Linked DNA regions of Drosophila melanogaster. The protein of the gene in region 1 purifies or fractionates together with the protein of each later gene. This does not show direct contact. Each region holds a gene or a part of one and is shown on either strand. Other genes may lie near its edges. The genes, in order: Ilp7 and Sdr.

Region 1 (10,864 bases):
TCTATACATATGTGCATTGTACATATATATCCATATTAGTATATAGTATATCTCGCATATATCACTAACTCTCCGATTTCTGTTTGTTCTTGTTGTTTCTTGATTTCAGAAAGGGAAAAAGGCGCGTCACCCGAATGGTTGTTGTTGTCGTATTGGCATTCGCCATCTGTTGGCTGCCCATTCATGTGAGTACAATAAAACACCTGGCATTAAGTGCAAATAATCAAAAATGCAATGCAATGCACAAGGTGCATAGCAAATTTGCCAAAATTTACCAAAACAGTAAACAATCGATTTGTTATATAGCTAATTAAGATTGAACGGCGAACAGCAAATGAACTCATATTCATATACCTATATTGGTAGTTGTTAAAAAAAAAAAAAGAAAAATAGGTCAAGGTCAAGCTTAAATGATTTTGTAAACTTTATTAAAAACTTCTAGGCATTCGAATAGCAAAGTTTCAAATTAAATTCTCAGCCTGCGTTGCAAGAAAATTACAGGGCTCATAATCGATTTATTGTACTTAAAGTTTCAGCCACCAGTTTGAGTATCTTAAATTGGCAATGGGCGGCAACAGCTGCTGGTAAAATTTTGTTGGCAAACACAATGGATGATAGTTGCGATAAATTGACATTTGCGATAGTCCGATATTCTGAGTATTTGCTGAAATGCTTAATAAGCCAGCAGCTGCTGCTCCTTGAGTTGCCAGCACAGCAAAGTGTTTGCACAAAATCAATGTGCTTGCAAATTACAAACGAAATTACAATTACACAGACACTTTGGAGCGCAAGAAATGCGCCAATTGCATCTGTCATATGGCAGCATATGGCAACTAATAATGTAAATGCAGGCAACTCAAATCAAATGATGAACTTAAAATGTTTTAATTTTAAATTTAAATCTATCGCTTAAAGTATGCAACAGCCTAAGTTGTGCCTAATTTACTGAACTTTCGTTGCTTAAATCTGCCTAATGCTCCTTTGCAGGTCATCCTCGTGCTAAAGGCACTGAATCTTTATGGCGGCAGCCACTTATCGGTCATTATTCAGATTATATCCCATGTGGTGGCGTACACGAATTCGTGCATCAATCCGATACTGTATGCCTTTCTATCCGACAACTTTCGCAAGGCATTCCGCAAGGTGGGCAACGCATCCATCCATCAATAAATTTATGATCATTCGGTAATAATGTGATATCGATCAACTTGCAGGTGGTCTGGTGTGGAAGTCCGCCACCTTTGATGACCAATCAACAGGTGACCAAGACAACGCGAACTGCAACCGGAAACGGAACGTCCAATATTGAAATGCTCTAAGCGGGTATGTACATACATACATACATCATACATACATATATGCATACATATGTATGATCTTACACTCCATTGAATATTTCAATTGAATTTACCCATAATATTTAACTATTAATTATCTTATTATTATATTATCTTATGCTTGCAGCTCTTGAAAGTAAACTAATTGAGATGGTCACAACATTTTTGAAGGCGACTTACAAACTCGAAACAGAAAATATGAATTTAAAACTGACAAAGAAAACATAAAAACGCGGCGCATATAAGTTAACTATAGTGTATATATAGTAAACAATGTATGTCTATGAGGAGAATATAATTTTCCGAATTATGAAATGTGATTGTTTTGATAGTTTAAAATGTGTACGCATTATTTCACTAAGAATAAGACAACCGAAAAGGTATATTATAAACACGCATATATTCTATGTTAAATTTTAATACGATTGGTTTCTTTTTAAACATTGAGCGCCGTGTAAGTTGCATTTGTGGCCTAGAACTTAAGTATTTAACATAATAAAATTTAATTTTTCCAAAATAATAAAAAAAAAAGAAAAAATAAGAAAGTTAAAGCTTAAAACTCAATTGTTTACATTTTGCACCTGAAATATTGAAAATGGCAAACAAAATCTGCAACAGATATGCTGTAAATTTCCTGAGACAGAAATCGATGAGAGTTGACACACTAATTAATGATTAGAATTGATAAGCAGTGGGATTTCTTAAACAATTTGTAGATTTTCGTGTTATAAGCAAGTCATATGTCATTTAGCCACTAAGCGTTTAATAATATAAAATCAATTAAAATTAATTAACAGAAAAGACAGAAAAGAAAAGTTATTACAGATTTACATGACCATATTGAGAAGATTAGATTTAACAATAAAACATTTGGAATTTTTTCTGTTTGTCCATTGAAAAAAAAATATTTTGTTTGACAGATAAGCACAAAGATAGAAGAAATTGATCTAGCACGTAAGAAAGTTTTTTTTTTTATTACCAGAGCTGTAATTTAAGATGCAGGTAAATGTTTTAGATTCGAGGTCTAATAAAATTATTACTAACTAATTTCTCGTACTAGCGAAGCTCAATTTCATAAAAAATTATACTTTTCGTTATGCAAATTTAATTAATCATTAAATAGATCAAATAAGTACAATGCTTTCATTCGCATAAATTATAGAAACATTCCATTTCCTACTCCAATTATTATTAATTCACAAATTAGCCAATTGTTGACCATGTGAAGTTGGTAAACGTTTAAGTTAATCATGTAAATTACACGTATATATAGATAAAACAATTTATAAACATTTTGACTATTATATAAGTGACATTATTAAAACATTTATATTGCTTTGTTGACTTTTCCTTTTGCATGGCTTCGGCCTTGCCGAATTTAAATGTGGCACAAAAAAAAAAAGATATACGAAAATGGGAGTAGGTGTTGCTAGTGAAAAATCACTTTAAATCTGAACAATGGAACATAAAATATTAGAAACAAAAAAAACAAATTTTTCTTTAATAAATTTCTAGATTAGTTTACTCGATTTTTATGCAGGCAATTGAGATTGCACACATATACTATTAAATCAATTAGAAACACATGCTCCCATTTCAGTATGCTACTGTATTTGACATATAAAACTATTGTAACTACAATATATATAAGCATATGTATAGCAACATAAATGCGTATATATAAATGTATTCTACTGCATTCCTAGCACAGTTGTGGAATTGAACAATATTTGAATTTAGAAAGAAAACAACCGCGAACAAATGGCAAAATTGAACAAAAGAAAAGTTTAAATATTCTAGTATAAGCGTAACATAAAAATAGTTTTTTTGTGTACCCTGTAGGGTATTCGCTAGCCGCCTATTCTCGCGAAAATTGAAACAAAACTAGTGTATAAAAAAAAAACGCATTACGAAATGTACTCATCATTTTACCATTTCAGTTATTATGAAAAGCGAAACTTATTGTATTTGTATATGAATGTATATGTACAATAAACATTTGTTCATTGTGTTAAATAAAAATTGATGACTCTGTGTACACAATATAAATAATATTTTATTTATTGGCATGCCAGTGGTTTTCACTTCTATTTGCATTAAGTTTAAATCGATTGATTTAAAACTTGTAAGCATTGAAGTTCAATAAAAAAAGAGACAACTGTTTACAATAGTGTTAAGTGCCAGGCAAATAAATTCAGCTTTAGTTTCATCCACTATTTGTTTACTCATCGATTCCAAATGACACGGTTTATTTTTGTCAAACGTAAATATTTGGCTTTGAAACCAATAAATCCTGCGCGTTTAATAAACTTAAGCTTATTACTATTATTATTATTTTAACACATTCAAGATTTATTAAAAAGTTCAGTTCGAAAGCACTTACAAAAAAAAAAAAAATTCTGGAAAATAAGGCTTCCAAAAGGCAACCAAACACCGGCAGTGTCATCCAAGAACTAAACTCGAATAGCAAGCCAAGGAGGAAGGACCTCCACTTGGAGCTGTTGGAGCATTGTGTGCAGAAAAGGTGCATCATAAATTCACACGGAACGTGTAAACAGCGACATTATTTAGCTAAGCTATTGTCTCATGTGGGCGGCTTTTCTTATGCATACTCGCACAGTGGGCTCAAAGAAAATCAACTTCATAATTTAAAAAAAAAATCTTAAGATGTATAATTGGTTGGTTAGAGTAACATACCTATTTATTAATCCCAATGATTGCCACATATTAACATATTACATATTTTTTTTATATTTTCCCGCTTTTAGCCCACTGTTTCGCCCACAGTATTGAAATTCGTGCAAATATTGCAAAATTTATGCCAGCTTCGAAATAAAAACAAGTGCCCGGCATTCCGGCTCGTTTTACGAGGCAAACAGCGTAACTTGCCCGATTTTATGTTGTTTTGTTAGCCAAGCAACAGGTTGCAGGTGGAAAATCGGCAGGTGAAACCAACCAACCACATGTATGTAGAGAAGTGCCTCCAATTTGCTGCCCAATGGAACCGCAGATAAACAAGGCAATAAGCGGACAACGGGCCGCATACGCAATTGCTGCCGTAGCTCTTCATTAGATTGGATTGTATTGGATTGGATTGGATTGGCCGGTTGTGAAAGAGGTCCTGACCCGGTCCTGGGCCTCATTACTTCAAATAGAGCGCTGACCAAACGATTTAATTATACCGCCGACGCCCGACAGTTGGCCGCCACTCAGGTGGAGACCGGGTTCGGTTATATTTCAAAACCTGACAACACACCGACCAGAGCGCTCAGTCGGCACGCATCCGCCGTGTGAGCCGCATCAGGATCAGCATTCCTTCGATAGCCTTCGAGCACAATTCGAGCACAAGAACTAACCAATATGACCAGAATGATAATACAAAACTCGGGCAGCTGGACACTTTGCGGAGCTGTACTCCTGTTCGTCCTGCCGCTGATACCCACGCCGGAGGCACTGCAGCACACCGAGGAGGGTCTCGAGATGCTTTTCCGCGAGCGGTGAGTTGTCAACTCCATTGACATCGAACCGTTCCGATGTCTATGTCTCCATCTTTTAGTTCCCAATCGGACTGGGAGAACGTGTGGCACCAGGAGACGCACTCCCGCTGCCGTGACAAGCTGGTCCGCCAGCTATATTGGGCCTGCGAGAAGGACATTTACCGACTGACACGGCGCAACAAAAAGAGGACGGGCAATGATGAGGCTTGGATCAAGAAGACAACCACGGAACGTAAGTTGTTGAATCGAAATCCATTCCAACCAAAGACGATTGGAATTTCAAGCGATGTACACATGTACATCTATGCTATAGATCCATTGATATCGATATGATACCACCTGCTGTCTTTCCAGCTGATGGCTCCACCTGGCTGCACGTGAACTATGCCAACATGTTTCTGCGAAGTCGTCGATCGGATGGAAACACTCCATCGATATCGAACGAATGCTGCACCAAGGCGGGCTGCACCTGGGAGGAATACGCCGAGTATTGTCCATCCAACAAGCGACGCAATCACTACTGATTGGCCATCGACGTTGGATCTGCTTAGATATATATATATATATACGAACAAACAAATATATATTCGCTTTTTTTTTCGTGGTTGTTGTTGTTGATGTTCTTGTTGTGGTCAAATAAAATAAACAAAAGGTTTCGGTTAAATAAAAAGAAACTTTACTGGCTTTAACTACAAATTTCGCATAATAAAAGCTAGATTTGCATGATATAACAAATTATATTAATCAATCAATGTTATACAAATTTAACAGTAAAATTGTCTTTGCAGATTAGAATAGTATAATTAAAAAAAAAAAAAAAATTTCACTTTATTCGACTTACAATGATCCTACTTTAAAATGCCCTAAATATGTCCTTAAAGTTATCTACAATACATTTTATACCTCTTCAATTTTGGGGGCAGTAACAATCCTGTAGTGCAATATCACCTAGTCAACAATATCGTCCTTTTCGTCCTTGTCGGTCACATCGATCTCCTTACGACTCTTTGCTGAACCCTCAGCCTTGCTGCAGTTGGGTGATTTTCGTGGCCTCTTCGAGGCCGAACCCTTTTCATAATGGGTGTCCAGCATCTCGAGCAGGCTCAACTGGCGGCCACCTGAACCCATTGATTTCGTGGCTGTACTGCTCGTTTTGGACGTTGTGCTGCTGTTGCTTATTTCTACGCTGCTTTTAGCCTCCAGACTAGCGGCCTCCATCATGGCATTGGCCTCCTCATCGTCCGACAGCATAAGAAGGGCCTGATCTTCCGAAGAATTTGAGTTATCTTGCGATAATTGCGCGGGCAATAGATCGGTACTTTGTTGCGTTATGGTGATTTGCGGTCGGGCGGGTTGCTTGTTGAGTTCTGGCGAGGATTTCGCTGATGTTTCTGATTTTCCTTCGCCTAATCCAGCTACTCTAGAGCTTCCAGCTTCGGCGGATGCTCCCTCTCCGGGCACATCTCTGACCTTCTTAAGTTCCTCTTTAATAAAATCATATAGCTTCTTTTTGGATGCCTTATTCTCACGCGGCTCCTTGGAGCTCTTCTCCTTAATAAGCCTACTGTACGACCTTAAAATACTCCAAAGCTGCTGCACCGTAGTCCCGTCATTTCGAAACAACAGCCACATTTCATGAAAATCATCCCTAAACTCCACATTTCCAAAGGTATAGTAGGCCAAAGGTCTGCCCAACTGGGCGCAGACCATAAGTTGCAGCAGGGCTTTCAGATAGGAGTCACCGCCGAATGCGCCGCAACCCCAGTTACCAGTTGCCACACCCGGTGGCGGCGTCACCATCCAGTGAACAAATCCAATGTACGCCTTGTTCAGCTCCCTTTCCATGAGATCCTCGCGATATTGATGATGTGACTGGGCAAAATGTAGGGCATCGATTGCCACAATGGCCGTTTGTCGACGACCTGAGCTATCTCTTGGCGTTGAATCCTCAAAGTTGCCGGACCACTCGAAGCTTCCGGCATATCCCGTATAGTTACTATACCTTTCGGCGCCCAACATCACCAGGGCCTCGAATGGTCGCAGACACTCCGTAAAGAGTTTACCCACCAATAGCTCCGGACAGATAACAAAGCGTATCTCCTCCTGAACGCAGCCATGTCCCAAGACACCGCCACCCAAATATTTGTTGGCAAAGTCTACTTGCAGCAGTCCAATGCCCTCATCCTCGATTGTTCCCTCGGCATCCACGTGCAATGGCACATCACCCAACGGCGCCGCACTTTGGCTCCAGTCGATCAGATGTTCCGGCAATCCGCTCCGACGAACAAAGGTTACCACACCGGTGGGCACATTGCTGGCATCCCGCTCTGTGGGACACACGCGACGAAAATAGTGCATAATGCATTTAAGCTTCTCCAGAACTGCCGGTCCCGTCGATTGGTAAAGCCTTTTGATGGAATCGAATATATTTAACATACTTCGACTGAAGATATACGAATCTGGTGGACGCTCACCTGTTAAAGTTGATGTCTGGAAAAGTGCTGTACTCGGACTTCCTCTTGAGGGTGTTTCTCCGGGGAAAGGTGCACAGGAAGGCATTGGCCAACAGGCAGGAGATCTGCTGTTGGCTCAGGCTCAATGAGGCGTTCTTGTGGTGCTTGAGCAGCGGAACTGGCGATTGAATCAAGTCCGGTAGCCGCAATGCCAATCGGATAATGCGCGGCAATAGATCCTCGAAGAAAACCCGTGTTTCGCTCTCGTCCAGTTCCTCGTCGAGAAGTTGATGAAGGGCACGAAAGTGCCACTGATCCCTATAGGTGGTATTATATGATATTATCGCCGCCTGCAGTTCCTCACACGTCTTTATGGGCTGCAGAAGGGCTCGTTCGATCATTTCCCAGCGAAAATCGATGGTGGTGCTGCCATCCGGATTCTCCCTCGGATATTTCGACTCGGGCGCACAGGGCAGACGCACATGCTCGGAGTCCCACTTTCCCGGTGATTTGTAGGGGCGTGGCGGTGTTTCACGAATTGGCAGCTGGTACATAACCCGGTGGAGATTGCCGGCAGTCACTGGTGGCAAATTCTCCAATTCGAAAGGCTGCCGATTACGATGTATAGCCTCCATGGAAACTCCACGCCACGAATCATCTAGGGAGTTCGCCAGATTTTCCGGCTCCTCCTCCGTTTCTATTTCGGAAATCCCGCCATCCGGCGACTTCGACATCCTGGCGCAGTTTAAGCACAAAGCCTTGCCGAGTCGATTGGTCAGCACGGATGCACTTGCTCTGCGGCGATTTGCCGTAGATTGGTAAACCTTTTGGAATATCGGAAAAATCAAGTGTGACCTGAATTCTTGCATACCGGTGTTTTGGGGATGAGCGATAGCTGTGATGAATATCGCACTTTATAAATACCACACACTTCGATTGAAGCGTAGTGAATTGAAGCGTTTATATATCGAAATATATTCAAATATATGTTGGTATTCGTTTGAGAATGAATCAATAACAAATTCAAAATTGCATTGCCTTGAATTCGGCGGGCGAAAGTGTGACCATTACATGTGGTATTTTACCTCTCATTGTCGCTAGTATTTAAATACCAGCACGAGAAATACCAACACTGTGTCCGTTGCAATGCGAATTGCAAATATAACCGCCGAAGGAACAACAACAAACAAAAAGAAAAAAAAAACAAATCTTCCAGCAATTTGTCAACTATTTTCTCTAATTTTTTTTTAAAGTGTAAAACTATCATAACGAGCGCCAAGTTTTACGTTAAGTGAAAGGATTTTTTCCTGTCCTTCGTGCGGTAAAAATAATAGTGCATATTACCAAGGAAAATCAAGTTAAAGGCGTCTGCGAAACTTTTATAAATGTATTTAATACTCAAAAAGGTAAGAAGCGGCGGAAAGTAATTGCTGTTTTATGTTTTTATAATCACGTTTGGCAAGAAAATGTTATTTCGTTGACGTCAGTGGTCAAATCAAATTTTTTCAGTTTTTAACCCTTAATGTGGCACTGTCACTCGCACCTATGTATATATTTATGTGATTGTGGTATTTTGCTCAAGCTTACGTGTTGAAAAGAGGAAGAGAAACCGCTGCATACACGTGCAAAGACTCTGAGAATGGACACAAGAGAGCGAGAGAGGGAGAGAGAGAGAGCGCAGTTGTTTGTTTTGAAAGCGTCGCAAAAACAATACAAAAAAGGTCATACATAATTTGCACACACACTTGCATCTGAGGAAAACGCAAAAGCAAATTCACAGCTAGCTAAAAACCAAAATAAATATAATTTATGAAATGTACTTTTGCTAAAGTTCAACACACCTTTATCTCTCCGCGAAATTTGTTTGCACCATCTCTTTCTCTCCTTTTTGCGTAAACAAACGAAAAAGCTTTGCAAGGAGAAGCAAAAAAAAAAAACACAAAAACAAAAATCGAATTATCAGTAGAATTCTACAAAGAAGAGGCGTTTCTCTTCATCGCTCTTCGTACCTGAGCGTAGCCTTCAAATTTGCTTAGATTTCGCCTTGACCATAACCTAGAAATACTCGAAAAAAGTACTGTCAACTCTCAATAAGTTAAACGATCGATTTTCACATAAAGAGATAGAGAGAGAAAGAGACCAGATATTAAGTGAAATTTATTTTACTAAATAAATTTTCAGAAAAAGGTGTAAATCCCGAGCATTTAGATTTCGTTGATGAACTTTAACGCAATGGGAGTCTGCACTGTACATGTAGAGCTTTCTCTTTTCTCATTTGCGTCAGCGAAAATACTAGGAATAATCGGGGGTGGCGTTTCGGGGGTTGGCAAAAAAAACAAGCAACAACAAAAATGCATAGAGCCGAATAATCGCTTGGAAAAAGCGAGCGACGAAAACGCGATGTTAGTAAACTTTTCAAGGTCACCTCAAAAGCATGAACTTATACTAATCAACAGCTGAAAGAAGCAGAAGACTGCACTTCCATGAGTCAGTTTCAGAAATTAAACAAAACGAGGGAACCAAACCAATTTGAAAATTCAATTTACATATTTGTGGAAATTTCTGTTCTTTATTAATTAATATACAGATTTTAAAGAAATAATTCATTTTTGTATCCGAATTCTGATGCACTTCACACATAATTAAAGCAATGTTACCATAAATTATATGGTAGGCAGATTGTATTGTATGAAGAATAAAGTATGGAATAAGCATAAAATATAATAATATATGTATGTATAGAATAACATCAATGAGTTCTTTTTACGAGTGATCACTGTACACATATTTATGTGCGAAAGTCGAATTATATCATGTGATCCCGAATTGTTTGAAATGTTTGGGCTTAAAAGATCGAATAAAAACATCTGCAAATGGATCTAGAAGTTATTTATTTTGTTAAACGCCTTAATCTATAAGTATATTTATTCGCATTGACTTGCTTTTGATTGGGGGAGGCTTCAGTTGTATGCAATAAAAAACAAAACTGAAATGATAAATACAATTGCGTTTGCTTGTTTGTGTTTCGACTTTTTTCTTGGGTTTTGTCAACGCGACTTGGCTCACGTTGGCAAAACAAAGTGCAAAATGATGAACGAGAGGAGGAAGATAGAGTGGAGAAAACCTTGCAGTTACAGGCTGCACTGGCTATGTGCAACTATATATGAATGTATATATGTATCTATCCTCCACTGCATCCAAGCACTCCTAGCTAACTTATAAAGCCAGAAATAATTGTCAAAAAATCCTACAACTGTTTTTAAGTTTTTATTGCAATTGTGCAATGCAGTGCTGTTCACACAAGTGCAAGCATGCAGAGAGAGAGAGAGAAACGTAAATAGTTGACTAGAAAGAGAGGGCTGGCCACACGTGTTGCTAAGGAGGGTCGCTCAACTTTATCGCCCAGCCACCGGGATCCCTTCGCGTACCCAGCAAACCCACAATTTATTTCTTTTTTTTTTGCCAGTAAATATTCGCACACTCTCAAACAAACAAAATAAGAACAACAACAGAGTGCAAAAAAATAAAATTCGCATGCGCTGATGACCTTGAGAGTTCTGCGAGTATAAGACGGAAA
Region 2 (13,936 bases), on another chromosome or scaffold:
GCATTTACTTAAGAATTAGGCATAGTTCTTTGCATACAAAAATAATCAATTGAATAAAACAAACTTTCGTTCCTTAAGCTAAGAAAAATTTAACTTGCAATGTGAAGCATTTTGAACTTTCACAAAGTTTTATCATCAGAAATTCTCATTTATCCAGGTGCTTTGTCATGCTCTTTATATGGCCATTTTGTGTTGGATGTTTTGAAGAGAATCTGAAAGCCATATATCTAAGCATTTATGACATTTTTAGAGCTAATAAGATTAGGATTGAAAAATAAATGATATAAAAAAAACATGTATCTCTCAGTTTGTCGCTTGAAAATACGGAAATTATAGAAAAATTGTACAAAGAAAACGATTTGATTAAGATAAAGAATTTCATTCGAAATAAAGCTTCTACCATTGCGCTCAAATTTTAAAATCTATTTAAATGTAATTTCGAATTTTCATTAGAAATTCTTTTAAGTTTGTTTGGGATATAATAAATTTTAATAAACTGATTGCTGGTTTTACAGTCAGTTATTTGCAATCCATCTCACGCTCATCTTATTCATTTTCTGATTTCCATAATTGTGTGTTTGCCATTTAATCCTGTTGTTCAATCAATGAAACCTGATTGCAGCCCTTAAACTGCAAGCCTCCATCCAATTGAACCATTCAACCGTGCCTTCAACCCGTTCGCAATGCATCGCTATCGTTTTCAGGCAATCCGTGACGCAACCCGGCCATCCGGCAATCCGACAATCCATTTCCAAGCAGTTAGCACTCGGGCGCATTAGCAGCCACCCATGGCCCTTCCCTTTAATGCCGTTTGAAATCGGCAAACAAAGCCCGTGGCAAATGGTAAATGAGCGCACCAGACGTGTCTCAGCAATCAGCCAAAGATCGGATTTATGCCCCCATCAGATATGCAATTAATTTGGCCATCAACACACCACAAGTCGCATTCAAGCCGAAAATTTAATAACGCTTTTAATTGCGATTGTAAGACGGCTGGAAGGCGGAATATTAATGATTTTTTACTCAAGCTTAGCTTAAAGATTCCAAACTGTGAAATATTTAATATGAAATGTCTGTGTAAAAGATGCACAATTCTTTGCCACATTTTTTGGCTGATTAAACTCTGTAAAATATTTTACACTCATTCCTTGGCGCAAAATTCCACAGCGTCACGCAGCAGTGAAAATGCCAGAGATTCATTCAGCTCACCCTTTCCTTTTGTTCATTATTAATTTTCTTTGATAGCCAAATTTCTGCGGGTGACCGAGGCTATAAAAAATAATGATTGCAACTTCCTGGCCAAAACGGAAGGGCAAAATTCCAGGCTGCAGGCGCCAATAAATTAAGCTTTATGCGTGGCTAATAGAAAAAAAAAAAGAAATGGGCAGCCACCTGAGTGCGGCGCACATATGCAAATTGTTGTGGCACTTGCACACACACACACACACACTGGCATTCAAGAATACATAAATTACGTGCTTAAGCAACAAAGGGAGAATGGCAGAAAAAGTTGCATAAAAATGTGTAAAAAATACACTATTTTTAAAACGATTTGCATTGCATGAAAGGAACGCATAAAATGGAGCTAGCAACGGGGATGGCGGCCAACGGGCTCTATATGCTCTATATTGAAATAAAAATGGAGAAATTGTGAAATGCAAGGAGGCACATGCCAGCTGCGTCGGTGTGCGACTTTTTAGCATAAACTTGAAGATCTGTGCGACGACAGGGCGTATGCGTAATGCAAGTGGCACAAAGGTTGCCCATATCCTTGTTACTAAGGGCACTTTCCGTCCTGACTTTCTGCCAGCCAACCTTTCGGCTTTATGAGGTGAGCCGTAAAATATGAAACGCTTTTGAGCAGATGCCTTAAAAATGGCAAAGGCTAACAATGGAAAAATCTGATTAAGAGTGAAGTTTATGCGCAATGGAGTGGTTTGAAAAATCAAGGCTCTTTTACAGTGTACAATGTACAATTTTCATTGCTCATTGCAATGGAAATATTACAAGAAATATGAATTTGTATTACAATATATATACCCTTTAATTTACTTGCATTCTTATGCAATAGAATGCTGGCTTTAATTTGAAAACTTTCTAATTGAAGTGCTATCGAATTTAAAAGACACACTCTTAGGCACTCATTTTTAATTTTAATTGGACTCCATTTAACGCAATTTGGTTGAACAAGACTTGTTAGCAGTTTGATTGAGATTGAAAGCTTTTTAAATTTGATTGAATTGAGGCTTGCGGAATGCACGTGCAAATGAAGAGCATTGCAATTTTATGAAGTGTGGCAAAGAAAGTAAAGTAATAGTTTTACCAAATTAAAAATGGATTTCAGTTTGTGTGTTTTATACTTGCTCGCCTCTTAAATGGATTATGTAATTTTTGATGACTACTTATGAAGTAACATTGTTTGCACTCGAATGTTTTTATTGTTCGTTATCCCAAAGGTAAAGGGAAACTCCAGTGCACTTGCTGTGTGGTCTGTTTTGGCCAACTTCTTGGACGTCTTAGTGTAGTTTTCAAGCAGATTGCTGTGTCATGTGTCCAATTGCATCAGCCAGCCGGGTTGAATATCCTGTCAGCTGCTGCGAGGTGCCACATCAATCAGGATGCAAGTGCTCCAACTGAGCGGAAAGGACTCGAGAATCCCGGGAAGAAAGGCTGATGGAACAGCTGCTGCCATTGTCTATTTGCCGGATTGCATTTTTCAGCAAACTTAATTAATTCTCCGGCTCGAGCTGTAGAGTTCGTAATAACAGCAATCATAATGGTAATGGGTCATGATGAGACAGCAGGCAGGCAGGCAGTAGCTCATTGAATTGGCAGGGCCATAAATTGCATCGACCGCTTGATTTATGGCCAACAGCCATGTGCAAGCCGCCCAAGGCCTCCTCCTAATTTGGCACTTAAATGCAGGGACGTGCGTGGGCCGCCTACTCACGGGTTGACTTATGTCCAAGTTTTCCCGTTTCCACTCTCCCATCCCTTGACTCTTCCCACTGTATTCCCGATTTTCTCAGCTTTTCCCGCTTTTCCCGGGTAGGCATATGCACACGTCCTCGCTAGCGATTCCCATCACGCGCCGCAAAATGGTGTTACGTGTTTGCCGCCTCGGATACTCTGGTGACTGGAGTCCACCGCATCATTGCCATCTTGCAACTCCCGTGCGAATTAAGTGAGTCAGAGATGGTGCTCTGCTCAAAAAAGCCATTCTAATTTCCTGCTGGCTTAAGAAAACTTTCATTTTATTATTGGAATAATTATGAAAACATATTCACTACAAAATAAAATGGTTTCGCAGTTGTAGAGCATTTTTATTAAATACTAGCTAGCTACTTCATCATCGCTGGAGGGCTGTTGTCAGTTCCCGCTGCCCCTTTGGTTGCCCCTTTCAAACGGCGCCTGTGTGCTGCTGGCATATTCAATAATTGGCGCCCCTGGTTATGGGGGCTTCCGTGGTGAGGGGTGGTAGTGGGCGCTGGTGGGGATGCTCATAGTTTGACGTGCCGCCGGAAAGGATGCTGCATTAAATTCCGCGCGTTTCACATCAGCGCAGGCTCTGCAAATTACTGCGAAAATTGATTCACAGGCGGGTGGCGGGAAAACGGAGAAAAAGAGCACATCAGCTAACGAAAAAATCATTGATAGTTATGCCTGTGTGGTTTTTTCACACGTTTACTGCGATTTTTTATGTGGGTGCAGCTGGTGATTTTGCGTGAATTTGTGCATTTTGCACTCGTTAAAAAAAGATACAGTTTATGGCAGTTTTGTTTTTAGAAATAGAAGTTGGCTTTAAGCATATTTAAAGCTAAAAATAACGTTTTATGATAAATAATAATAATAAATTACTGCCTATATTGACCATTGATGATGGTTTTATCAATTATTAACTAATTTTGAATGGATTATCGCGACGGTAACATAAATTATTATGTTTAAAATAATTTTTGGAATAGATATAATAACTAAATAATTATCCTGGGGTGAATTAGGCAGATTTTATCCGCTGTTACATATGTAATGATATATTCAAAGTACTACACTAAAGATATACCCTATAATAACAAAGTGAAAATTTGAAATTATTTCGTGCGTTTTTATGTGGTTTGCCCATTAAAATATCTAAAACAACGGGGCACAATTTTGCGCAAATTATTTATAGATTTCTATTGCTATTGTATTTAACACATAAATATATTATCTATTTTTTTGTTATTGAACAATCATTCAAGCTGCGTATTCAATTGGCATCTGACTAAATTTAGAAAATTCTTTTTCCGATTCCATTGAGCGTTACTTGCACCTTAATGAACTGCCAATTGCGCGTTGTTCAATGCTCACTACTCTACCAATTGGATTGGAGCTTTGGTTCACCCCCTCCCACCATTTTCGCTCTTATTTTCACTGTTTTTTTGCATTCACTCTAATTGAATTGTTCGCCGGTGCAATTTAATTTCTGCGCAAATGCAAAAACAAAAGGCAAAGACATGCACTCTGGGGAAAAAGGTAAAGAACGCCGGTAGGTGGCTAAGGGGAAGGTAGCTAAGGAGGAAGGGGGAAGAGGATCCAACCGGTTTGCAAATGGTTGCAAGGTCACATGGGGAGTGGGGGCGTGGCAAGGGGCTGTGGCGGTTGCAGAAGTAACAAGTGTTTTTCGGCTGACGGCAACAAGGAAACGACAATGAGAAAAACGTGAAAGGTAACAGATGCGTAAAATAATCGCTCCCCAACAAAATGAAACAGTGGCGTGCCAAGAATTTCAAAAAGGGTTTCCAGTTTTTGAATTTCATTTGTAGCTCCACAAATCGATCTATCAAAAACCGTAAAAGATCATACGAATTATCATGGTACTCTTAATCTTAATTTTAAGTTTCGTATATCACTTTTTTAATTGACTGCAAAAGGGCATTAGGGGGTTTAAATTTGATTGAGAAAACTAGAAACAAACAAATAGCAAGACCGGCAAGTATATTATTTTACGATATTGTTTTACGAAATGTTTACTTTCATTAACGTAAATATTACCAGACTGCTCCCCATCGAATCATCAGTCTTCTTCTCTCACAACAGCCACCACCTTTGATTTTCATTCTTGAGCAGTTTTTATACACCGAGTCGAAAAAATAGTTCTGGTTTTTGAAGATATTTAGATATTTATATTAGAATTGGCTCTATCAAACAATATGCTAAATATTTTATTATTGTAATAATTTTGGAAATCTGCTTAAAAGATATTTTGCTTAAGAAAAAGGTTACTAAATATGTTCGCTTTGCATACATTTTTAGGTTCTTATAAATGTCGACAAATTTGAATAGTTTTATGAACACTACACGATTTTCCGCTGGTGTAGCCGAAGGGTTTAGAGAACGAAGACGAGCGCATAAAAAAGAAATAACAGTGTGAAACAAAACCAAACAAAACAAAACAAAGTGAATGCCGAAAGAAGAGGCTAATTAAAGAGATCGAAAGCACAGAACGCTGTTCGAATCGAATGCCATCAGTCCAAATCGAATCGTTGCCGCGAACGCAGCTCTCTTCAAAAGCGGAAAAAATATTTAAAAAAATATATAGTTCAACCGATCGATCGTGCGAGAAAAACGACATTGACATTCAAGCGGGCGCGCTAATTGATCCATTGGAAGCCCCCTTAACGCCCGGGTCAAGTGCTCTCAATTGGAAGTGTCAGGTGGCAGCATGGGGCATCTGCACCCCGTTCCCAACCCCCTTCCGATCCCCATCTCGATCGCAGTTCCGTTGATACTGCTGTTTTTGGGCGCCTCATCGCCGGTTTTGGCCAGTTCCGATGATCAAACCGCCTGCGGATCGTTGGAGATAAATAAGATTGCGGACCTGCGGAAACTGCAGAACTGTACTCATGTGGTGGGTCACGTTCGACTGGCCTATGTGGATCTGACGGATGTATCCGGCAACTACAGCCTGGATTCGCTGGCCAGCAATGTGACCGAGATCAGTGACTACCTAATGGTGTATCGCTGCACGGGTCTGATCAGCCTGCAGTCGATATTCCCACGGCTGCGTATCATTCGTGGGCAGGAGCTCCTCTTTGATCAGTACTCCCTGGTGGTCTACGAGAATCGCAATCTCAGGGAGCTCGGCCTGGTGGAGTTATTGCGCATCCAGAGCGGATTCATTCGCGTCGAATCGAATCCCTTGCTGTGCTTCGTGGAAACCGTCGATTGGATATATCTAATGGGCAATGCCACTCGGCAGCACTTTTCCCTTAAAGTGAGTGAAGATATACTTGGGCATATGTTCCTTGATATTAAGCAAATATTGGATAAATAACTTTTTTATTAACCATAGCACAACAGACCGCAAAGTCAGTGCCCTTTGTGTGGTAGCCTGTCAGCGGACTTCGAGTTCATCCGGAACTCCTCGGAGCGCTGCTGGAACGTGAATACGACACAACTTCGCCCCCAACCGCCCAGACTTAAGGACTGCCCCATTGCATGTGGCCTAAACGGATGTGATAGTGCGGGCAAATGTTGTGATCACAACTGTGTAACTGGTTGCTATTCCCAAAACTGCTCCCTTTGTGCAAACTACCAGGGAAGAATGGGATGTGTCAATCAGTGTGTCGCCAGCTATGAATTAAACAAGAGGAGGTGCATCGGTCACAGGGAGTGCCGGGAATTGGGAAGGATTCCCCTGATACGCGGCTATCAGTGTGTGAAAAAGTGTCCGGGAAACCAGAAAGAGATTTTGGTCGCCAAGGGCATCATCCACTGCCAGGTGGAGTGCAACGGCGATTTTCACGTGAAGAGTGCTGCCGACCTGGAAGTTTTACAAGACTGTGTGACGATCAATGGTTCACTTACCATCGAACTCACCAATATTAAAGGTGTGTTTCATATCATATATGATATCTGTATAATTTACTTACATAATACATTTTCCAGAAAAAATTGTAGATGCCTTGGAAAATGCGTTGGCCAGTGTTAAAGAGATCACTGGGTATCTGAAGGTCATACACTCTGCACAGCTGATGTCGCTCACATTTCTTCAGAATTTGGATGCCATAAGAGGGGATAAGCTGGTGGAAAACAAGTTAGTTTGAGAGGCAAGGATTGTATTGAAATTCTAATAATATTATTTATCTCATTTTCAGATACGCCCTGTATGTAGTGAATAACTACCATTTGGAGCACATTTGGCCACCCAATCACCTGGTGATCATTCAGCGCGGTACACTATTCTTTCACCTGAATCCCCGCCTGTGCTACGAGAAAATCCATCAGCTACAGGGCTCCCTGAAAAGCGGAGAGAATATATCCGTGGCAGATGTATCCCCCAATTCGAACGGCGAACGCGTGATTTGTGGCGACGCGGTGCGCTCCCTCAATCCCAAAGTGGAGGACCTAAATTCCACTGCGGTACGCATCATCCTGGACTACATGGACTGGGAGGGTATGGAAACGCTAATAGGATATTCGTATCACTACAAGGAAGCCCCGGTGCAAAACGTGACTATGTACGATGGTCGGCATGGTTGCGGTCATGACAAGTGGGTGTGGACTCCTCGCCCTCACCAAGTTTACCTACAGTGATTCTGTTTATAATTTTCCAGCTGGCTGATGGACGTTGTGCCCAACCAGAGTCGACGTCATGTGATAAGCGGTCTGAAGCCCTACACACAGTATGCGTATTTCGTGAAGACCCTCACCAGAACCGAATATCATATTCAGATAGATGCCTACTCAAAAATCGGCTACTTCCAGACGCTACCGGATAGGCCAAGTCCTGTGCTCCGAATATATGGCAGTTCGGAAATCAGTTCCCAGATTGTAAGTACTTTTCAAAATATATCTCTCAGCTTAAAAACTTGTTCATTTCCAGCTTCTTCACTGGTGGCCACCGAGGCGTCCAAATGGAGTCATTAAAAATTATTTTGTGACCGCCGAAAAGTACAATGCTACCAAGGAAGCAAAGGACAAAAATTATGTGAATGTTGAGTTGGAAAATGCTAAAGACATCGATTGTGAGTGCGCTGGTGTACTGCCCTACTATTCAGGTCCTCAGCCAGATGACGAGGATTACTACAACAAAGAGCAAATCACCTACGAGGATGCGTTGCCCAATCTCATTTATGTTTCGTAAGACAAGAAAATATGGTTTTCTTTGAAGTTTCAATTGAAATAATATACAATATTATACCATCTATAGGCGCAATCACGACTATCGCAGAAAGGAGTTCGAAAAAGTGATTAACTATGAGCACCTGTTGTCCATAAAGAAGGATGAAGAGCCCACCAGACCGCCCACAACCACTCCTGCTCCTACAAATGCAACATTGGCTAAGGAGAGATTGGCCGCAATTAACTATGAGAATTATCGCCTGAATAGCGAGAAGAAGCAGCGGGATCTTCAGGACTTGGACCAGCACAAGTATACCATCCGACATGCCTTGCCCAAGTGCCAAAACTCCCACGCATCCGTGGTCCAGCAAGTGGAGGAAAAATGCGTGGCTGAGGAGCCCTTGAGTGGCTACGAACTTCCGGGCACCCAGCACTTTTACTGCCTCTCCCAGTTGGAGCCGGAAACCCATTACCGGATCACCATACGGGCTTGCGTCGAGGGCGTGGTCAACGGATGCTCAACTCCGGCGGAAGCTGTAATCAAGACTGCAAGCATCCAACTGGAGCGATTCATCAAGGGTGTTTAGCAGAGAATCCTCGATCGCAGACTTTCTGTATCCGCTGACAAGTGATAAATGCTAGACCCATATGACGATAGGCATGTTGAAAACTTGATGCAATATCAACCTAAATCAACGTGTTTAACATTTACTATATCTGTATTTATTGTTCTAAAAAACTTGACATAGAAGGACCGCTGGACCTCTTATTTTTCCAGACTATATATGTCGTAGTTTTACTATTTGGAATTAATTTTTTTTTTTAATATTTTTCGGTTTTTAACTTTGATTATAATTAGACTGAACAGCTTTAATGCTTTTTACTTGAATCAATTGTTAAAATGTAATGTAATGTGTAAGCCGTGTCATATGGGCCCAACTAAGTATTGTAAGTCAAGTGACTGTAGTTCCTCCAAATGTATTGTAAATGTGTAAATGCCAAACAAATCCTCGACAAGCGAGCAAATGTTTTCATCAGTGCTAATTTGACTTATCAGCTTATCAGACTTAGCCGCACGTCCTTGCAATGTGTGCCAGAGCCAGAAACCGTTCAAAGGGAAAAACCCTCACTGACAGCAGTGATTCCTGAGATCCTCAACTTGGCCCGGAAAGCGGTTACCTTTCTCTCGAGATTGGCCATGGCATAAGCCTAGGCGAAACTAACAACAGCAGGCTGCCTGGAACTTCCAACGCATGCCACTTAATATGCAAATATGCCGCAAAAGAGCTTTAAACTTTAAAACACTGACAAAAACTAGAACTAATCCCCACCATCGAAAACTGGGCGGAAAGGGACTAGGTCGAGACGATGCTTTTGCTTTCGGTGTGGAGTGGAGTCAAGTCGAGTACGTGTCATGTGTCGCCTTGTTTGTGGCCAAGTTTTCGGCGCAGCTGGAAAAGTTCCATGAAAACGTGTCCCACTCAATGGGGAAAAGCGGTTCGTGATTGACGCAGGACTAAGTATGAGCGGCGAGGGGTGAGCGGGATGCGGGAAGCTAAGGACGCTCAGAGTGCCTGCAGAGGAAAAGGATTTCAATTCTGCCGCTGACACTGACGCGCAATTTAACTACCTTAGAGGTCGCGAGTGAAGTACTCCAAAGGGGGTAACTTGGCGACTATCCCTTCGCGTACTTTGGAAGCTTCACTGCAAGAAACTCACTAGCACAAATTTAGGTCATATATAATATACTGCAATTGAAAGCCAATCAATAAAAGGTATAACATTTCATTGTCTACAATAAAATTCCCTTTAAAAATACTCAAGTTTATCATATTTGTTAGTCTAAGCTAGAGTTTCTTTTTAGTGAGCTAATACCCGCTGGCAAACCTTATTCAACCTACTGAGTGTAACTAATCTCTTTTTCAATTTTTGATGTAGCCATTTAAATCAACTGGCTGGACTTAAAGCAAAATGCTGGGCAGCTGGAAACCACTTATGCCACATCCTTTGGCGCCGTCTTTAAGTGGAGGAAGGAAGAGATATGGGGCTGTGTGTGATCTTATCCTAAACCAATTGTATTTCAATATTTCACTGTCCCCTCCTCTTCGCCCTTTGCTGTTGCACCATTTTTCGCGTTATTTCCGTTGCCATAGACGCAGTTGTAGTAGCAGCTGTAGCTGTGGTTGCAAACGTAGTCCTTGCCGTGTAGCCTCGTTATCCTTGCACTCGTTTGTTATCTATGCACTTGCCGGGCCAAGCACTTTGGGTGCGGTTCGTCGATGTCAGTGCGTCAGTTTAGCAGTTCCTCCGTCCGCCCGTTGGTCCGCCCGTCCGTCCGTCAGTCAGGCAGGCAGGCGGACAATAAAACTGAGTGCACCGCAACTCGGACTAGTGCTGTTCAATTGGAGTTTATTTAATATATGTTTATCAATTTTATTTTTAGTCCGAAAATATGTTACATACCTGACATTTGTTTTTGACCTATTAAATTGCTATAGAAATCGATACTTAAAACTACCAGTGCGATACTAAGTATTGCATGGATGGTACAGAATATGCTTACTTGCTTTTGACTTAGCCATATTTGGCTTATAACCCGCTATGTGGGCAGCTTTGCCAATCCATATGTGTGCGCTCCTCGATTGTCCTTGCCCCAACTGGAGAAACGAAAGTGTCGGCATCACCTTCACCATCGGCGCATTAAACTCTGGGTTTTCGAATTTGGATTTGGTACGGGTCGGCATGCGAGTTCTGGGTTAGTGCATTCAGTCTGGGAACGGTAATGGTAATGATGTGCACTAGTTTGGACCTGAGACATTGATATATACTGAACACCATCAGAGCTTGTGCGAGTGTGTGTGTGTTACTATAAATGCAAGTAGTTGCCAGTACTAAGGGAAACCAATTGAATAAAGATAGAAAATTTAAATTTAAAAATCAATAATATATAAAATTGTATATGAAATATTTTTAATAAGTAACTAAGTATATACTACACGTTAAACGTTAAACATTTTAAATATTTTATCATTGAAAATCCCCCAAATCCAGTTACCAAACTTGCGCATACATTAAATTCTAGGCCACCGAAAAGGTCAAGTCCTTCTTCCTGCGACAAATTTAAAGAGCTTTGGATAATCCCCGACCTACTAAGCCCCGATTCCCCCCCAAAAACACAACTGTACCCCATCTTCAGGTCAGCAGTTCGTCAGCTTCGAAATGCGCGACTCGCACACACAATTGTCCTTTTCAATGACCATTGCCATTGCTTTGTTATCCTGTCGTTTTGTCTGGCTTTAGTCACATTACAAATCCAATTGCCAATGCGAGATAAATGCGCCCGGATAATATGAACTGGCATGTGTGGGAAACGGTCACTTAGTCCACAAGGACATGTACTAAGTGACAGCCGGAGGGAAAGTGCTCGGGGGGATGAGGATGAGGGCGTAGATGGAAAGCAGCTGATTTTAATTTTAGTTAAATCAAAATGTGCTGAGGCAGGAGCCAAGTTTATTGGGCAGGACCAGCTCAACTCAAAGGACCGCCATCCGACACGTCTGGACTCTTAGTTGGTTGGCTGCAATGCGTTGGGTCATCCATTTTACTCTTCCACTGAAAGAAACACAATAATATTGTCGATATGAAGTTCATATTTATATAAATTAATATAGAAATACTATCTGCTTGTTCAGAGTAAATACAAAATGTTCACCTTATAAAAATTGTTGGTCTGTAATTGAGTGAGTGATACAATTTTGTGGCCTGCTTCATAATAAACCCATTTTGGGAATCCTACGAGTAAACAGTTTTTTCCGTACCATATGTCCTATATTTGTAGGTCGAGAGAACTTAATTGCAACTGGGGCTTTAGCTTTGCGTGGCTTTTGGCCTGACATGTGTTTGCTTTGCTTGTGATCCATAAATAATGAAAAGCGCTGAAAATAGTTTTTACTCAGGCACTAAACTCTCACGCTGAATAAAAAGTCGAGCATGAAAACAATCAGAGGTCAGATAAGTAGTTAGTTTTCCACTTAATTGTCCTGGAAATAATTTAGCCCCGCCAAGGATTTGTCCATTAAACGTGAATAATTTACCACACCAATGCATTGAGTTGATGATTTGAGTAGCCTCGTGTGTGTGACATAAGTGAAATCAATTTGACGATTTATTTAGAGCTATTATTTCGTAGGCAATAACTACAGGTTCTCTGGCTTTTCTATCCGTCGGGTTCACCGGCGTCTAACAATGAACAGTCATTGCTCCACTTTTTGCGCTAAACGATTTCGTGGAACGGGACATGACAAGTGGAAATTATGAATGGGAAAATCTAGGCCCCAAGCTTTAGGTGATTGAATGGATTTCTGCGTTGACAAGGAGCTGATCGAGTGGATCAACGTCTAGACTGCCTAAATTATGAAGTCTATATATAGGATACAAATAAGCATCGAAAAGTGTGTTTACTTACGTAAGCAGTAATCATGTTACCTCCTTCAACAAACACAAATAGGTCTCCTTTCAATTTTCAAACAACCATACCCTTGTTTGTTTTTCATCCTTTTCAAAAGCCGTTGCAAAAACTTTGCTTTGTTTAACGCGCGTTCAATATTGAAAATTACACCTTAATTAAGTGCTATGCACGCATTGCAAATGTCAATAAACCGCTTAGCCCAAAAACCAATATCCTTTTGCACTTGTCGCAGTTTCCCCTCCTCGTCCACCTACCCACACCTGTGCTAGTGTCTGTCTGCAAATATGAACAAAACAGTTTCAATTGTTGTTGCGGCGTCATATTTGTCAGCCATTTGCGAATGTTTCCACTCGTACCCCCACTTCCGTTTCCGCCCACTCCGTTCGGTTTTTGTTCCATTTCCGTTATGGCAGGACGCATTCATTTTGGCGTCATCAAGGTTTCATGATGCGCTGGCAAAACGTGTCATCGGCACAACGATTCGTTCTGCCTGACAGTTGACAACTCTATCAAAAAGGTAAACTGATGGACCGAAAGGGGCTAGGATGGATTTTCCCGGGTGGCCACTGGAATGTGCGAATGGCAAGAGGAACAGGAACCCATGTCGAAGCTGCTCAATAAAATGTCATTCAACGCTGCTATACGTGACAGTGGCGGTACAGTAAATACAGGTGAGGATAAGCTAATGATGCAATAGTTTCAGTAGTTGACTTAAAGTTTATGTTCTTTAAAATAAGTAAATAATAAATGTGAATATTAATAAAGAGAATCTTTTAGTTACTGTTCAGTTACTGGAATATAATTGTATTCAACATATATTTGAGCTATTTGTATGAACGAAAAGACATATTTATTAAACTACAATAATATATTTGAAATTGTTAGAAGTCGCTGTTTAGGCATCCCACTGTTCCCTGAATGCGCGTGTGTTTTTGCGATTGGATGATGGCAGGGCGTAATTGGCTTGTAATTGAAAACTTTGCGGATAATTAATTGCTGAAAGCTGCCTGACGACATTTATATGGTTTAAGTTGTGTTTTGTCCTTGTCATTTGCTGGTATTCCCTTCAGCTCCCTTACCCATCCTTCTACGCTTCCTTTGAGCTCCCTTGGCTGCAATTGTAACTTAATTAGTTGATTTTTTTCTCTATGAGAGGAAAGCTTTTAAGAGTTGAACGAGTGAAAGTTATATTTAATCTTTGAAGGGCATATTCGTTTGCTTACTAGGTATATGAAATGTACTTTAACATAATTTAACCAGATACTTGTTACTTATAGGGTAAGTGGGTATAATATTCTTAGGAAATGATGTAGCAGGTAGAAAGCTGCCATGATATATATATATTGGCAAGTTAGTCCTAAC

Evidence for each region.
Region 2: the proteins of Ilp7 (region 1) and Sdr purify together in Drosophila melanogaster (affinity purification with western blotting, with the first as the bait; one study listed by BioGRID). This does not show direct contact.

Annotation. Positions count from the first base shown.
Region 1 is NC_004354.4:3,663,347-3,674,210, forward strand, and holds Ilp7 (Insulin-like peptide 7), read left to right. Parts: upstream 1-4,274; 5' UTR 4,275-4,697; coding exon 4,698-4,834; intron 4,835-4,893; coding exon 4,894-5,066; intron 5,067-5,188; coding exon 5,189-5,358; 3' UTR 5,359-5,499; downstream 5,500-10,864. Other genes in the region: AstA-R1 (allatostatin A receptor 1), read left to right, coding at 110-185, 988-1,143, 1,215-1,319; Parg (Poly(ADP-ribose) glycohydrolase), read right to left, coding at 5,783-7,241, 7,309-8,021. UniProt on the Drosophila melanogaster protein: Possible ligand of InR/insulin-like receptor.
Region 2 is NT_033777.3:14,913,174-14,927,109, forward strand, and holds Sdr (secreted decoy of InR), read left to right. Parts: upstream 1-5,454; 5' UTR 5,455-5,704; coding exon 5,705-6,256; intron 6,257-6,334; coding exon 6,335-6,872; intron 6,873-6,930; coding exon 6,931-7,078; intron 7,079-7,139; coding exon 7,140-7,535; intron 7,536-7,598; coding exon 7,599-7,815; intron 7,816-7,867; coding exon 7,868-8,124; intron 8,125-8,194; coding exon 8,195-8,693; 3' UTR 8,694-9,910; downstream 9,911-13,936.